4 linked regions of the Schizosaccharomyces pombe genome follow. Changing the gene in region 2 together with the main gene of any one other region gives a genetic interaction. Each region holds a gene or a part of one and is shown on either strand. Other genes may lie near its edges.

The links.
Region 1: mutations in tcg1 (region 2) and hob3 together harm fitness more than expected from each alone (negative genetic interaction), as found in Schizosaccharomyces pombe (one large-scale study listed by BioGRID).
Region 3: mutations in tcg1 (region 2) and psu2 together harm fitness more than expected from each alone (negative genetic interaction), as found in Schizosaccharomyces pombe (one large-scale study listed by BioGRID).
Region 4: mutations in tcg1 (region 2) and gyp1 together harm fitness more than expected from each alone (negative genetic interaction), as found in Schizosaccharomyces pombe (one large-scale study listed by BioGRID).

Annotation. Positions count from the first base shown.
Region 1 is NC_003423.3:1,221,185-1,225,175, reverse strand, and holds hob3 (BAR adaptor protein Hob3), read left to right. Parts: upstream 1-1,970; 5' UTR 1,971-1,979; coding exon 1,980-2,027; exon of another isoform or gene 2,028-2,069; coding exon 2,070-2,816; 3' UTR 2,817-3,432; downstream 3,433-3,991. Other genes in the region: tsp0 (tspO-like protein), read right to left, coding at 1-202; pir2 (C2H2-type zinc finger domain-containing protein), read right to left, coding at 3,661-3,991. UniProt on the Schizosaccharomyces pombe protein: Involved in cytokinesis and septation where it has a role in the localization of F-actin.
Region 2 is NC_003423.3:213,410-217,447, reverse strand, and holds tcg1 (single-stranded telomeric-binding protein Tgc1), read right to left. Parts: upstream 2,350-4,038; 5' UTR 2,305-2,349; coding exon 2,093-2,304; intron 1,927-2,092; exon of another isoform or gene 1,843-1,926; coding exon 1,641-1,842; exon of another isoform or gene 1,588-1,640; coding exon 952-1,587; 3' UTR 547-951; downstream 1-546. Other genes in the region: ergothioneine biosynthesis methyltransferase Egt2, read left to right, coding at 1-447; mef2 (mitochondrial translation elongation factor G), read right to left, coding at 2,549-4,038. UniProt on the Schizosaccharomyces pombe protein: Binds single-stranded telomeric sequences of the type (TG[1-3])n in vitro. Has a role in meiosis.
Region 3 is NC_003423.3:3,465,766-3,469,802, forward strand, and holds psu2 (beta-glucosidase Psu2), read right to left. Parts: upstream 2,053-4,037; 5' UTR 1,765-2,052; coding exon 805-1,764; 3' UTR 505-804; downstream 1-504. Other genes in the region: mpi1 (mannose-6-phosphate isomerase), read left to right, coding at 1-387; cullin 1 adaptor protein Pop1, read left to right, coding at 3,578-4,037.
Region 4 is NC_003423.3:782,555-787,674, forward strand, and holds gyp1 (GTPase-activating protein Gyp1), read left to right. Parts: upstream 1-2,011; 5' UTR 2,012-2,558; coding exon 2,559-4,103; 3' UTR 4,104-4,591; downstream 4,592-5,120. UniProt on the Schizosaccharomyces pombe protein: Stimulates specifically the GTPase activity of ypt1. Functions on the Golgi as a negative regulator of ypt1.

The sequences.
Region 1 (3,991 bases), 1.0 Mb from region 2:
CATATCCCATTGTTAGGTATAGTAGTGTCCATGCTGGTCCAAAGGCAGATGCAGGGGGGTGGAACTTTGGTTGCTTTTTGTTCTCATAATCCTTTCTTGGCTTGTAGGAATTCCCAATGAACCAGCCGCAGGCGACTGGAACGAGAGAAGCGGACCACCAATTTTTGGAGATGCTAGTGAATACTTGATAGTTCAAATCCATCACACTTAATAATATCGTTTACTGTTGATTAGCGAAATCGGGAAAAAAAAATTCCACGAATGTAAAGAGTACTAACAACGACTGCTACTAAAAAACCATAAGTATTTCGAATCTTAATGCAGCTCGTTTACAAACAGCAGAGATAATGTCGAGATACAAAAGGTCTTTCAAACCATGCTAAGCAAATAGACATGGAGTAGCTAGAGTTAAGTTTGATAATTAAAACTGACATACATTAAACTAGAAATTTGGAGAAGAGTTGTTGAAACTTCTAATTGAATTGAAGATTAGTAAAATTGGACCATAAAGCTTAACCATCTTTCAATCTTCCATACATTTTAAAAACGGGCACAGTATCGATATGAGAGAAATACGATACTAAACTAAAATAAAAGGAAATACTTAATTGTAGTTTGATCTTGGAAGCTACTCGAATGTATAATTCACCATATTTATAACCTCGTCTATTACGTCACAGAAGGGAAGGAGGAGCGAGGTATTGGGGTATAATACGTGTTCATACTGCGTAAGGTGGTGGTAGATGTGTCTCGCTAAAAAGTGTTTATAAGGAGTTTTCCATAAGATAATATTTTCAGTACAACTAAATTTTTTATATTATTAATATTATATTATAAAATTATGTATATCTATTAGTAGCAGCGCTTGTTTTCTGTAATAGAATATATTTGGGCTGGTCAAATGCGGTTAATTATCATCACACAGATGAGATTTATGGGCAAATTTAGTTATAAAATTAGATAAGACAACAAAGAGAGAAGAAAGGTTTATTTCGGTGCTTTTGTTTCTTACTTTCAGAAGAATCTTTCTCTTGGGCATTATCTGGATGTCTTACTGCCCACAGAACAAACAAACTGTCATTGAATGGCTGAGTTCTTGTTTCAATATCTAATATCGCTATACAATAGCTCTCAAAGTAATGCACCACTACTACAACTTAAGTTCTTCACTTTTTGAGTAAGGATGCAAACTATGAGACCGGGTTTTTTTAGCTCAAATGTCGCTGAAAAGCGTTTTCTTTATAGTTTTATCATGAATGATCTCATATATTGATAAGTAGCAATCGTGTCTTTCCATGTCGAAGCCTCAAAACATTATATCCATATAATGCAAAACCATTTATTCCACCACTTCTAATGAAATTTATAAGTTGGTAAAATGTCCGTATTTCAAATTGCTTCTCCACAATATCTTCCATTTATGAGCAAACGATATTACCTCTATATTGTCAAGTTAAAATGTTTACATTGATATATTATATTAAACTATAACATAACTATATTACCTTATAAGGCGATTTCTGCTGGATGCAGTTAGTGAACAAGAATTATCTGAGGATAGACCTCTAATTGCAGTCAGAGATTTACTACAGATGATTATACAAGAAAAATTTAGATATATTTTTTAAGCGATGTAATTTATTGATAGTGACATGAAAGTAAGCCAACCCTCGAAACCCAAATTTACCACCATTATGCTCTTGCTCTATCAATTAAACACAAAATTAACGACACGCTTTTCATCCTTATCTTTTTATAATTGCATTGTGAAATAAACTATCATTATTCTATTTAACGCAATGATAAACTTCGCAATCAGGCTTTACGTTATGGCTTTGCTTCCGTGAATTGTTCCCTACGCGAATCCTGCTGAATCCACTAAAAGATCCAATGCAGCTTAGCTAGCGAACATTAGCGCAGCGATCAACTGACATAAGATATCTGGGTATGCCGACGCTTCTCTTTTCCATATCACAAAAATGAGTTGGCATGGATTCAAAAAGGCCGTTAACCGAGCGGGTACCTCGGTATGTATTTGAGTGTTGAAGAATTGTCTAACATTGTGGTAGGTTATGATGAAGACGGGTCATGTTGAGCGAACGGTGGATCGGGAATTTGAAACAGAGGAAAGACGTTATAGAACTATGGAATCAGCTGCAAAGAAGCTTCAAAAAGAAGCCAAAGGTTATCTCGATGCTTTGAGAGCCATGACTGCGTCTCAAACTAGAATCGCTAACACAATCGATGCATTTTACGGTGATGCTGGATCGAAGGATGGTGTCAGTGCATACTATCGACAAGTCGTCGAAGACTTGGACGCCGATACCGTAAAAGAGTTGGACGGTCCTTTCCGGACAACGGTGTTGGATCCCATCTCAAGGTTCTGCAGTTACTTTCCCGATATTAATGCCGCTATCACGAAGCGTAATCACAAATTACTTGATCATGATGCTATGAGGGCTAAGGTTCAAAAACTGGTCGACAAGCCTTCCAACGACACTACTAAGCTTCCCCGTACCGAGAAAGAAGCAGCCATGGCGAAGGAGGTCTACGAGACACTCAATAATCAACTGGTCAGTGAGCTTCCGCAACTAATTGCTCTTCGTGTGCCTTATTTGGACCCTAGCTTTGAAGCCCTTGTCAAAATTCAGCTCCGCTTTTGTAGGGAGGGATATGAGAAAATGGCTCAAGTTCAGCAATACTTTGACAACTCTGTACGCGAAGACTATTCCAATGGTTTGTTGGATGATAAAGTTGAACAAGTTTTACAGAGTATGCGGGATCTTTCCATCGCCGGTTTGAACAACAGTCAGTAGACATCGGTTTTTTAAACACGATTGTATGTGTGCATAGCGCTATCACTCTGTTTTCTCTTTCCTTTTCTCCTCCGAAATAATTGTTACTACACGTAACCATGATCTCTTATCCCTCAATACTTTTTGTTTAACATATCCTTTCTCTTTTACTACTTTATTACCATCTTATCTTGTTTATCTGAAGTGGTTCACGGAATGTTTTCAATTTATTCAATTTTTTGTGATACATAAATATTTTCCATACTTATCTATCCTCGAGTATTTTCTATTGGTGTTACTGGAATTGAAGGGAAAGCCAGCACATATTTATTAAAGACTCAACTGTGAAGCTTCTACATCCTTTCAGTTTCGTAACGTTTCCTTTATAATTTTTTAATTGGGAATAGTTATCAAATTATCAGATAAACAAATTGGTTTTCCAATATTGTCTGTCGACCCAGCGATTCATCTACTAAACTGTGCTTATTTTCTATCTCGTACCAAGTTTTGTTCTAATAAATAACTATTGTTAAGTAAGTTTAGACCAAATCTTAAAATATAATAATTAGAAAAAAAAATGCTTTTGTTGACTTACGAATTATTAATTTGAATTGTAATTTATTAATTTTCCAAACAATAGCTATCTTGTAAGCTGTAAGTCAAGTTGGAAGTGGGTTTATTTCTATCTGTGCAGCGTTCGATGTTTGATTTTCGAACATGGACTTAAGCGTTCAATTTTACAATAGCTGTGAATGTAGATTATCGCTACTTTAAAATCTAAAATATAGTATGGAGCTACAACTGCTAGTAACGTCTATACAGGAAATGATATTAACCAAAAATCTTTCTGACTAAGAACATAAATTTAGTAATCTAATTCTGGAACCTCCTGGTTAGGCGCATCCAAATCTTGATAAGTTCTATAGAATTCCCGTCTGTGGATCATGGGTTCTTGCCTCGAATAAGATTTTTGTGATGATGCTCCAGAAGTTATCTCCTCGTCATTTCGTCGACTATAGCTTGTTGTTGGAAATGTATAGTTTGCGTTAATATTTCTGAAACCAACGTAGGGCTTGTTTAAAATCTGTAAGGATACATACGACGTGCTTACCACTTTGGGATCCATAGCCCTACATGGGTCAAGCACATATCCATAGAGACATATAGCCACCTTTTTAATGTGATCCAACCAATCC
Region 2 (4,038 bases):
CTCTCATACGGTTATGGATTAAGAGAAAAGGAATCAATTGCCGTAGATACTCTTACCAATCGGTTTGTCAATTCTTTCAAGCAAGATTTACCTAAGTTTATAGCTGTTGGTGAGGCTATTAAGTTTCGAAAATCCATTGGAGGGGAAGAAAAGATTCAACAATATTGTCATGAAATAGCTTTAAAGGGAGCCGAAATTATTTCTAAAGAACTGGGCACTTCCTTTATCAAACCTCCATACCCAGTTGCAATGGTAAACGTCGAAGTTCCCTTACGCAACATTCCCTCCATAGAAACACAGAAAGTATTTTGGCCTAAATATAATACATTCCTTCGATTTATGGAATTTAAAGGAAAATTTTACACTAGACTTAGCGGTGCGGTGTATTTAGAAGAATCAGATTTCTATTATATTGCTAAAGTTATTAAAGACTTCTGCTCTCTTTGAATAACTATGCTTCACAATGCATCCTCTGACTCTTTTTATGTGACTCAAAGCACTTAAGTTATTTAATACTCACCTGTGTTTTAGACATTGCAGCACAATAGATTCTAAATCTTAAGAAGCCTATAACATTCGTTTAACTAGTTACTTATATTTTGCGTGAATCAATTATTACAACGTTCACAATTTTGGAAGAAAATGTATATTTTTACTTGAAGCACTTTAACGTTTCAAATGTACAAAGATGCAAAACTATTTTTAACAATAGGCCCGAATGTATTTTTGATACAAACGGAAAATATATAAGGCACAGAACTCCAAGCAATGAATATAGTCTAGTCTACAAAGCTGCAACTTTTTACCAGGAACATGCATGGGTTCCATGCTAAGGGAGAGAACGTGACGTGCGGAAACATGAGGGTATTCGGGACATATATAAGTATAATGGCGAGGCTCATTATAAAAGGAACGAAGAGCCAGGAATAATCACAAATCATATTTTAACTTTTAGGCAGTTATAGCACTAGCAGTAACGCCTGATTTTTCTTCTGAGTCAACCTCAGATGCTTTGGGCTCAGTAGAATCAGACACGTTAGTGGGAGCAGATTCTGAAGCCTCAATAGGTTCGTTTTCATTTTTTTCATTTTCATCATTTTGCTTATCTTCACGGAAGACAGCACTTTTAACAACCAAAGTAAGGTCACCTACTTGCTTTCCATTCATTTCCTCAATAGCTCTGGATTGATCCTCAGCATTAGCAAAAGACACAAATCCAAAACCACGACCACGACGTTGCTCACCACGTAATTTTATACGGCGAATAATATAAGGAGGAAGGGAACGAACAGCAATACGAGCACGAGTAGGATTGTAAGCATCGAACATTTCTTTAAGGCCTTCATTTGTTAAAGTAACGGAGAGGCCTGAAACATAAATAGAGTTGGGAGGCAAAGGCTTAGCCTTGTTTTTACCAGACCCACCCTTTCCTTTGATCTCATTTTGTTTCTTATCGACACCATTTGCTTCATTACTTGAAGGAGCTGTTGCGGTATTAGCTTCATTTTCATCACTGGAGCCCTTAGCAGATTCAGCATTTTCGACAGAAGTTGAAGTTTCAGGTTCTTCACCATTTTTATTTTTTGACTAATGTGTCAGAATGATATTGATAAAAGCTTTGCGAACTAAAGTATACTTACCTTTTTCCTATCTTTTATAGGTTGCTCTTGGACAGGACGAGCTTTTTGAACAACAATCTCGCGATCATCCAATGTTTTACCATTCAATGTCTCTATAGCTTTGTCAACATCCTCCTGATTGTTGAATGTAACAAAAGCAATGCCAGAAGGTACGAGACGGGTACCACGGCGAACACGACGAAAAGGAATAGTTACTTTACGACTAAAAAGCATTAGTAGATGATCAAATATAATTAAAGTAGCACAGATAGTTTCGAGTAAATATAAGCTCGCATAGCTCCGTTTTAAAATCGTTTTTGTGAAAAATATAAAGTATGACTTCTAAAAAGTAAATTTTCAACAACTCCAAATTATGCACTGATTTTAATAGAGAGAGCTTTAGCTTTAGCGCTTAAACATAAGAAAATTTTGTTCTAACTCGAAATTGCTAAAACCAGTAATAGTTTACATACACAGTACCAACCGTTTCAAACAATGAACGGATTTCACTCTTTTTGGTAGACGTACTTAAACGCCCTACAAAAACACGAAAGTCGTCCGCTTGTTGAGCAGGTGTGTTAGATTGTTCTGCAGATGCATGTACAGCAGCATCTACAGATGCTTCAACTTGATCTTGAACAGTATTAGGAGCGTTTTGGGTTACAGTTTCCTCAGCGGACATCATTAAATTCGTCTAGGCGTTTTGTAGTAATTATAGTCGATATATGCTAACGGTAGGTTCCATCTGACGTTGGGGACAACATGTACACAACTCCGTTGCAGACGTGTGTGTATGCATACACCGAAACGTATAGAAAAAGAATGTCAAACATACAGCTTTTTAATGATAAGGATGATTTTTATAGAAAAATAGAATTATATCTTTTTTTCTATGTATTTATTTTACCCATTAACCCACATTTCTGACCTTAAGGAAATATTCGTTTTTGTCTCTGCATAGACATAGGATGAAAGGAAGAACCGTAATTGACCAGCTTGGGAGTTTGAGATTCCATAGGATGAGACATAAGAAATTTTGCATTACCTTTTGTTAAAGAGCTTATAACACTGTTGTAGTCGAGAATCTGCTCCAAAGGCACCTGAGCACGAATACATTTAATGACAGATGAACTCTGTAGTAGAGAAGAAGCATTGTTTGCTTTAACAGAACTAGGTTCATCAGCTGGTAGATATCTTTCACCTAATATTCCTATCGCTATCTGCGAGTCTTTCGAAGCAGCATTCTTTCCAATCTCTGTAATTTCTTTGATCGTGGCTCCCCGCTTGCCTACAAGATCTTTAGAAACAATACCAACATATTCTTCAGGAGTTGTAATTGTAACATCCATATAAGGTTCTAATATTCTGAAACTTTTGGGACTTCTCTTGTATAATGAAAATACTGCATTTTTGGTAGCTTTCATCGATGCTTGTGTCAAAAGTGACAACGGAAAGTCATTAGATAGAAAAGAAGAAATGGTACAAAATGACTGCAAATTCGTGAGAGGAAACCCATGTAAAGGCCCATGCGATAGACCTGCAACTATTCCAAAGTAGATGTTTTCTTGAATACGTTGGAAAGAGAGATGATCCGGTAAAGTACACGAGTTTTCCGGCTTCCAGCCATAAAACAAAACTCCATCTTCTTGCCCTTTACTTCGAACTTTTTGGATCTCACCTTCAGAAAAATATTTTTTCAAGGTTTCATCTCCTTCATCAGAAATAGGGATTAAGTAAACATTAATAATGAGATTCTCTTTATTTTCTGTGCTTAAGGTAACTGAATTAAAGCTTACATCAATCAAAGTTTCACGATAACCAACTTGAACTTTTCCTAAAGATGCTCGAGCTCCAAATTCAGACACCAGTCTTTCATAAGAAACTTGTAAATGCATAATGCCCATCCCTTGTATCAATAGTTGTCCATTCTCTAAATCTTGGGTATATCTAAATGAAGGATCTTCACGATTCATGTTAGCCAATGCTTCTAAAAGTGCGGGTTCATCTTTTAGCGAATAAGGTTCTATAGAAGCAATGCAAACAGGTTCAGGAATACTGATAACACTTTGATTTCCAGAAAGGTACTCATGAAAATTTTTTGAGTTCTCTTTATTAATAATGATATCTCCGGTATGAAATTGTTTAATCCCACTAATCACTCCTATGTTTCCAGCGGAAATGCAATCAACTTCTTGAGTCTGGTCAGCGAATACATTGTATAAACGAATTGCTCTTTCTGACTTTTTAGTTCTTGGATTAAACATCATCATTCCTCGGCTTAAAGTCCCTTCATTGACTCTGACATATGTGAGAATTCCCCTAGAAGCATGATGTATAACCTTGAAAATCTTTGCAAGCAAAGGACGTTTATCCAGGGAGATTATTTTGTCACTACTCGTTTCTTTTGAAGCATTTTTTT
Region 3 (4,037 bases), 3.3 Mb from region 2:
CTTGGCTTTACGCCAAAGTTTAAGGACATAGAAACTCTCGTAAATAATCTCACTTATCAGACTGCGGATGCCAAATCCCAACTTACCCAACCTGTACCATTTGCCAAAGCTTGTGGATCTGGCAAAACTCTGTTATATGATCCCCCGATCGAAGAGTTTAGCATTTTGCAAACCAAGGTTTCTCCTGGTCAAAAACAATGCATACGCGGAATCAATGGCCCTAGCATTTTACTTGTTACTGAGGGTTCAGGCATATTGAATGGAGACAAAGGAGATGTAGCATCGATATCTCCTGGATTTGTTTATTTTATTTCCGCAAATTTTCCATTAACGATCTCTGCGACTTCAGAACCTGTTGTCGTTTACCAGGCATTCTGTGAGATTTAGTTACTCTGCAGCTTTTTACTACTATCAGCACCATTATAATAAAACAATACATGGAATTTTTAAATTTTTAACGATACTGGATAGGATGGACAAAATTAAGTAAAAACAAATTTATTTTTTCGTAGATGCAATGCATAAATAATGAGCGTTTTTAAGAAATGTAACAAAATGTAGAGAAGAAATATAGACAAAAAAATGAAATGAAGAAGATGAACCCCAAAAATAAAATAAAAAATGAATCCAGAAGAAAAATGAAAAAAATGAAAAAAATAAAAAAAATGAAACCAGAAAAAAAATGCGAAAACTAATCAACAACGAAATAAAGCATAAAAATGGGAATGACAAAAGTAAAACGAATGCAAAAATAATTCTAATAAACAAATTTTTTTGACCAAGCATCCACTTTTAACACGCAATTTAGTACAACTCAAAGTAGGCATTGCCTCCGGTGACAGAGACTGTACAACCACTGCTGTCAGCGGTGGAACCATGGAATGATCCGTCTTCATAGTAGCAATCACCACTAAGGGACCCACCATCAGATTTAATACGGATATTGTAATCAAGTTTAGCAGATGATAAAGGATTGAAAGACATAGAAAGCCAAGTCTTGCCGTCAGTGTAACCAGACCCGAAGTTCATAGGAGCCCAATTGCCATAATCATCGCCCTCATTACCCCAAACACAGACATCTTCTGCACTTCTGCCAGATTTATTAACATAGTATTGAGCGGATGTCTTCTTTCCTCCCCAATTATAGTATGAATCTTCATCAACATCAGAAAGAGGTTGTTTTGAACCACCATCAATATTGGTAGGGATATTCATGTTCTCAGTTCCGGGGTAATCGGTACGGCAAATTGCGACATTGGAACTCAATGTATTTTTAACATAGGCAGTACCCTTTCCATCTTCACAAAGATTAGAATTATCCTTCTGGGTGAGATATAATTTACCGTTCTTGCAATACAAACCACCAACGGAAACGCCATTGTCAGGCTGCTCAGACGGCCATTGGGTCTTAGACATTCCGGGCTTGCATGCATAGGAACAGTATGTGTTATCTTGGCATGTAGAAGCTGTTCCGTATTTACCATCATTCTTCTGAACACCAGACCATCCTCCAAAACCTAAGTAATCAAGGCGGACAACGCCATTTTGATCATCAGGAAAAGAGGAGCAGTCGTATACGCCGTCAGGAAAACCACCGTCTCTTTTTGAAAAAGCGGTAGTGTTTGTGACATTGACACCAACAGTTATATTGCTAGCATTCAAACCGGCATGATGGTGATGGTGATAGGGAGCATTACCAAGAGGCATAGCTGAAACCAAAGGAATGGCGGAAACCGCAAAACAAAGAAAGTTGTTAAAGAGCATTTTTAGATTTAAAAGATTTGACAGGAATCTAACGATTGACTTTATAAACGATAGGATATGCTAGTAACTTGATACTAGAAAATAAAAGAAAGATGGTAAAGAATATAATGGTCTTTACCTTTTGCGGTTCTGATTGTTTAATTTCAGCTCACGGCTTTTCCCTAAAAATCAGCTCAGCTTTATATACATTTCTTTTTTCAAGCACTTCACCATCTTTTGATTAAGAGCCGTGGCGTTTTGCCACTAATTAACCATGAAAGCCTGTAAGTTTTCAACGTTGATTTTTTCAGAAAATTTCTAACCATAAACCCGAAATAATTAGCGCCAAAACAGTCAACTATTGCGCTCCAATCATTGCTTGCCTTGCTATCGGCTTTGTATTCATTGGCTGATAACTTAATTAAAAATGAACTTAAAAGTCAGTTGATAAATTCAACCAATTAAATGCGTGAATTTGATCTACCCCAGGAAAATTTATACTGTCCCGGGGTCGCGGGGCGTTCAATCATTCATTTCAAAGCAAATTATTATTATTTCCAAGCCAAGTAATTTAATTTTTGTTTATCGCTTTAGCTTTCTTATCATAAGGAAGTTCTTGGTCCCCTGGGCCTTTTGCAATTGAATTGCGCGGTGTACGTAAGCCTAATGACATCCCTGTATACCTAACTTACAAATACGTTGGCTCGACTCAACGTTATATTGATTTTCTCCTAATACTATTAAATATATTTAATAATCTCTTGGGAAAGTAATCTGGTACATACAAATCATCCTAGATATAAGAGGCTCGGTGCATTTCGGCAAATGATGTTCTGCAGCTCATTAAATATGATATAATATTAATTAATTAATATCGTGTTTACACTCGGTTTATCGGTTTGCTATGCTAAGAACTTTTACGGATAACAATTTAATTATTTATCTTGGTAGCGTATTTGACGCTTCTTTGGATACTGAGATTAAGTCAAATTTTGAATGGAGAGAAGTCGAATAATAGCCCAATGCCTGCCGAAATTACCCGATGCATGTCATTGACGAGACAAAAAATTTCTTTCAACGGCCTAAGAAAATGATGTACTAGAAACGCCATCTTAGTCTGACATTTTACATTTTACGCTCATGCTCAAATTTTATTAATAAATTATTATATGTGTCCGTGTCATTTAGAATATGACAGGGGAGGGTAATCTCTTTCCCAACTTTATTGGCGTGTAATGAAATTCGCGAGCTACTATTGTGTCTGCATTCTTTAGCTGCAAAAACGCAACGGAAAAGACAATTTTATAATATGAATACTTCACGTGTTCATTGTTTTTGTCTTTAGAGAATTTATTTGAAAATGCTGAGGAGGTTAATATCTGGTATACAATTAAAACACTATCGCAAATAATGTAAAAAAAAATAATATTGAGGAGCCATAACTAAGTCATATAACTTTTCTTATTGAACTATTGTTATGTCGCGATTTAGTCGTATTTACCATAAACTATAAAAACTTTTCTTAATCAACAGTAAAATTGTTACTTATTCTGGTGTTACTTACACCTCCGCTTGCGTAGAGTGAATTTAAAATTCATTGCCAAGAGTTTATGGTCTTTACGATCTATCTCGCTGAACTTCAAAAAAACCAAGAAAAAGTATTGCTCTAATGCATTAAGACGATAACTATTTGCAAAATAATTTCATATACATGTTTCCCAACGGGCAGTTGTTTTAAGTAAATTCATCAGTATCGATTCTTGAACCAGGTTCTCTAACATCATAAAAGAACTTGACAAATACTTTTCTACTAAGTGTCTGTAAACTACTTGAAATGAATGAGAAGAAAAAAGATAGCCTATCTGTTTTAGATTCCAATGAATTTTTCGGTGAGACAACTATGGTATCACCGAGTATTGATGTTTCCTCTTCTCCCCGGCCAAATGTCGAGAGATTTTCTCCATGTTCCACTAAAAAAGATCTCCTGGAAGGAAATAATATAATGACCAGAATTCCCGAGGAGCTTAGTCGTGTTAGTCTACAATTTGATAGCAAGGGAAGTCAGCAATCGATGATATTTACTAACAATCGATGTTTATCTGATAAAGAAAATTTGGAAAACTTGCAAAATCTTTTATATCTACATTGTGATCTTAACCGGCCCCATTTGAGTTGTGAGCTGCCGTCAGAGCATCGCGAAAAGTGCCTTAAACGCCGTAACTCTAGTCTCAGCTCTAATTTGCATGCTAATAAGCGGTTTCTCTTCAATTCTCAAAGTGATGGGAATAAAAAGA
Region 4 (5,120 bases), 570 kb from region 2:
CGTATATAGGCGAGCGTTTGATGGCATAACAAGAGCAACAAATTGAACTTATTTGTTTTCCTTTGTTAATAACTCTATTTTAACGATGTATAGGATTCGTTCTGACAGCTTCATTTTTATTCCAGCAAAGCGAAGCAAAACGGATCATTCGCTTCGTGCCAAAACAATGTTGTTTTATGGATTAAAAGATGATCTTCTTAAAGCAGCCATGGCTAAGCATTCATAATACGTGATAGATCATGTTATAGACTTCATCTTTGTAGATCATATAAATGCTTAAGTGTTGAGTCAATGACACATAGACTGTACTTGTCTATTTAATTTGTCTAACGTATTACATTCATAAAAAGCGCGTAAACGTGTTGAGTCTTATAGAAGTTGTTATGACTAGCAATTCAAGAACAAGTCTGATTCATAACATTATTTAACATTTCTTTATTCCATTTCATTTTATTCTTTCTCTATGTTAAAATTCTTGACTTTGCAATATAAACAGACAAATATGCACCAAGTAGCTTGTACAAATAGCTCCTAAACGATCTTTGAATGCATGAAGATAATATTCTATATACCAAGGATTTGAATACTTCACGATCTTACTGTATGAATATATAAACAATAAATAGAAAATTTCTAGTGAATCGACAGTACTCTGACTGATTATTAATTTTTTCTTTAAAATGTTTAAATATTCTACTTTAAACGTCTACGGCCATACCTAGGCGAAAACACCAGTTCCCGTCCGATCACTGCAGTTAAGCGTCTGAGGGCCTCGTTAGTACTATGGTTGGAGACAACATGGGAATCCGGGGTGCTGTAGGCTTCCTTTTATTCTTTTTGCTTTTTGTTTGAGCTCATTTGGGAATAATAATCATTTACCTTGATTCGTACTTATTCATTTCAATACCTTTGCACATAATATTATTGTGTACTATGAATGATATTTTGGCAACCAGGAAATCTTCTTACAAGTCGTAATACGACTTAAAGGGAAGATGTATGGTTTATTTTATTGTCATACAGTAACCTTTATTATTGGATTGGAGTTGTAGTTTCGATTTCATCACAATGAATAACGATACTCTAGAGTGTTTTCCAAGATGTAAACGAGAGAAGGAAAGTGTTTTTTGGATGATTATTAAACTTACTATAATTTTTGATTGTTCTCAATATAAAATTTATCTTAGTACATATTTATTTTGTTCTCATGTCAGTTTTGGAGAACATACATTACAATTTCTTGACAAGACAACATTTGGAAAATTGCTCTGTTCATTAAAACATTGAAAACCGTATATGTTTTTTAAATCATTCCTCTTCAATGCATTTGTTGAAGTAATTTTACTGAATCAAAGATATAAATACATGTTTGAAAACAAATACCCGAAACTGCTAAAAAAAAGACTGGGATTGAAAGTTAGACTAGATTCGTTGATCATCTACTTGAAAAATGTGTTTTGTTAGAAATATATAGGAACAGGAAAATCTTAGACTGTATTTCAGGAAAATTTAAACTTAGTAGGTATTAAAATGCTTATAATTCATCGTATTATATTAGGTAACTAGGATGTCAATACGAAAAATAACAATAAAATCAGAGATTCATTATTGACAGGAAATACTTTTTTACGTTTCTTAATCAACGTTTATACTTTTCTCTTTTTTGTTTTGAAAAGCGACTAGTCACAATTGTCAAAATTACATTGTTCACTTTTACTGGCAGCAACTTAAGTAAAGAAGAGATAGAACTCATAGATATAAACATTGTTAAATGAGACCTAGCTGTGTATCTTTTACTACTCTGCGCATATAAACCCAACATTCCCAAGCAATAAGACCATGCACGGCCAAAATCCTTCTATCAACTGTTCATGGCTTAAAACGAATTTCCTTTAACTAAAAAGTGAGATAAATAATTAAAGTATTAAACCTTGCTCCTTTTATTAAAAAAACCTCATATATAAGAAACTCCATACACCTACTGTTTTCCTCCCTATTGTTTTGTTCTTCCACCAAATAAGGGCAACTGCCTTGGCAACTGCACAGACCGAGTAAATCTTCACAATTTCGTTGATATTCGGTTAAAATTTGTAAATATACTAGTGTATTGGATTGTATCTAAGGTTTTCTCGAAACATTTGTTCGTGTTCAAATTCCGCGCTGTTCTAATAGATCACAAGATCTCGAGCTGGTGCGTTTTCGTTTGGATGGAACCCACAGACACGGCTTTGCTTCTAATAGCTTAAGTTTTTTTTTTTTGAAAATAGTTTTCATTTGATAAGAAAAGAATAAGACTTCAAGTCCGGTAAGTCTATGAGTGGTGCCTAAGATCCTTCGTCGTTAAACATTTGAAGTTATTGCCTTCTAAAACGTTTCATCTACTTTTTACAGCAAATTTTGAAACTGTTTTTTGCATCTTAACCAAAAGTATTTTATTTTGGCGATAAATTCAAAGAGTATCTGTTATTTGCTAAATTTGTTGTGTCCATCAAGGCTATCAAATTACTGCTTCATTTTGTAAAAACAATTTTTCTTCTCGTATTTTAAGATTTTCCACTATGGAATCTCAGTCAAAAAAGTCGTCCGCCTTAAAAACTCTCTCCAGCTTATGGAATGGATCCTCTAGCGCCACTTCGGATCCAGTTACTGTTTTGGATCGAAGCCGGACCCATCACCATCGTGGTCGAAGCACTTCTTCCAAAGCTCAACCGTTCAGATTGGACGACTCTGTTTACTCAGATCAACCCCCAAAAGATCATATCTCTTTGGCCCGGTCCATAACTAGACCCGAATCTGCTAGTGAGTCTAAAATCTATGCACCTTCTGCGAGATCTTCTCTTTCCTTGGAAGCTGTTGTAGGCAAAAAAGTGTCTGCAAAGTTTGCCAAATATTTGTCACAGACAGATGACGATTGGGGAGTTTCGAATATTAAAGCCTCAAAATCTCTTCCTCGTATGGCTCGAAGTACTACTCCAAATTCTTCAAGCCGCTCCTTATTTCCTCAAAATGGCGTGGATACTACCACTTCTAGACAAAAGCTTCATTCGTCTGGTCGTTTTCCTTTACCCGCTAAACTAGCCCATCGTTCTGTAGAAGTTGAGGTTGCTGAAAGCAATGCGCTTGTCTCTCGGATCAAGAAGTTTTCGCGAATTCTTGATGCTCCAATTGTGGATTTAAATGCGCTTCGTACATTGGCTTGGAATGGAATTCCCTCCGAACATAGACCTATTGTCTGGAAATACTTGTTAGGATATTTACCTTGTAATGCTTCTCGTCGTGAAGTCACTTTAAAGCGAAAGAGAGACGAATATAACGCAGCAAAAGATTCCTGCTTTAATACAAATACAGAGCCACCACCTTTGGATCAAACTATTTGGCGACAAATTGTCCTTGACGTTCCGAGGACGAACCCCTCTATTCTTCTTTACCAAAACCCATTGACGCAGCGTATGCTTGAGCGTATTTTATATGTTTGGGCCTCACGGCACCCAGCCAGCGGATATGTACAAGGCATCAGCGATTTAGTTACTCCTTTTATTCAGGTGTTTTTGTCCGAATATATCGGCGATAAGGACCCAATGACATATGACATTGCTCTTCTTGATGAAACTAATCGTAATGATATTGAGGCTGATGCTTACTGGTGTCTTTCTAAATTGTTAGATGGTATCCAAGATAACTATATACATGCACAGCCTGGAATCCGTCGACAGGTGAATAATCTGCGAGAGCTTACTTTACGTATAGATGAGCCATTAGTAAAACATCTTCAAATGGAGGGTGTTGATTTCCTTCAGTTTAGTTTTCGCTGGATGAACTGTCTTTTAATGCGCGAGCTTAGTATTTCGAATATCATTCGGATGTGGGATACATACATGGCGGAAGGTGTCCAAGGATTTTCTGAGTTTCACCTCTACGTATGTGCTGCATTTTTAGTGAAATGGTCGAGTGAATTACAAAAGATGGAATTTCAGGATATATTAATTTTTCTGCAGTCTATTCCGACAAAAGATTGGAGCACAAAGGATATCGAAATTTTACTATCTGAAGCTTTCCTATGGAAATCATTGTACAGTGGAGCTGGTGCACATTTGAAAAGGTAAGGCATAGTAGCCATTTCGTTTTCCCTTTTCAGAGCATTCGTCTTCTTCCTTAATCCCTTGCTTATTTTGGCATAGCAGCCTTTTTCAAATGCCATCCTTCCTATGCATTTTTATAATTAGGTTGACAAATCTCCTTCGTTAATTCATTGTGTTGCTTTTCTATGTTTATGAGCTTATGAGTCTAAGTCTTACTTCTTCTAATAAATTTTCCTTTCATTCACCTAAATAACTTTTCAAGTTTGCTCCTTAACTCAGCTGGATTGAGTTTGCGACTTTTAGAATTTATCATGCAGGATAAAGTATTTCTCTTGAAGAAAGTCTGAACTACCTTAATCATTTTTGGGAAGTTATTAACCCTTGAATTAAATTGTATATTCACTATTACTTATATGTAATTTGTCTTTACTCTTACGTTCGACCGTTCTCTAACCCTTTTCCAGTTTGACTTACGTTACTACTTTACTATTCAACGATTGTTTAGTCCATGGCGTGATACTTTACATGAATCGTTATTAATATCATTTTTTTTTCTCTTCTATGCTAGTCATGTTTTCTTTGGTTTTATCCAAGATTGTACATTACGATTTCAAAGTACGACTTTTGTATTGGTAAGAGATGATGAAAATCGACAAGACTGTACTACATGGTCTGTGTCTTCTTCCTTGATTCGACCAAAATGTATGGATGAATTAGAGTAGATAATGAAAACGCTGTGACAATTTTTGAATATTTATACAACTTAATACAGTTTTTGAACTGAAATAAAGAAGCACGTTCCATTGCGTTATAGAATCATTGTATTACTTTTCATGAAGAAGAAATCATTTATTTATAACTATAGGATCAATTTCTTATCTTTTAAATTTCAATACTCATAGCTTTTTCATGCTGATTTTGCAACTGCTTACCACAACAGCATTTGCAGTGACTGTTTTTCAAACTATATTTACTATATAAGGGAGACTTTGCCTATTACCTCTACGTCTGGCTTAGGAGCGCAAATTAAGCGATAAGAAA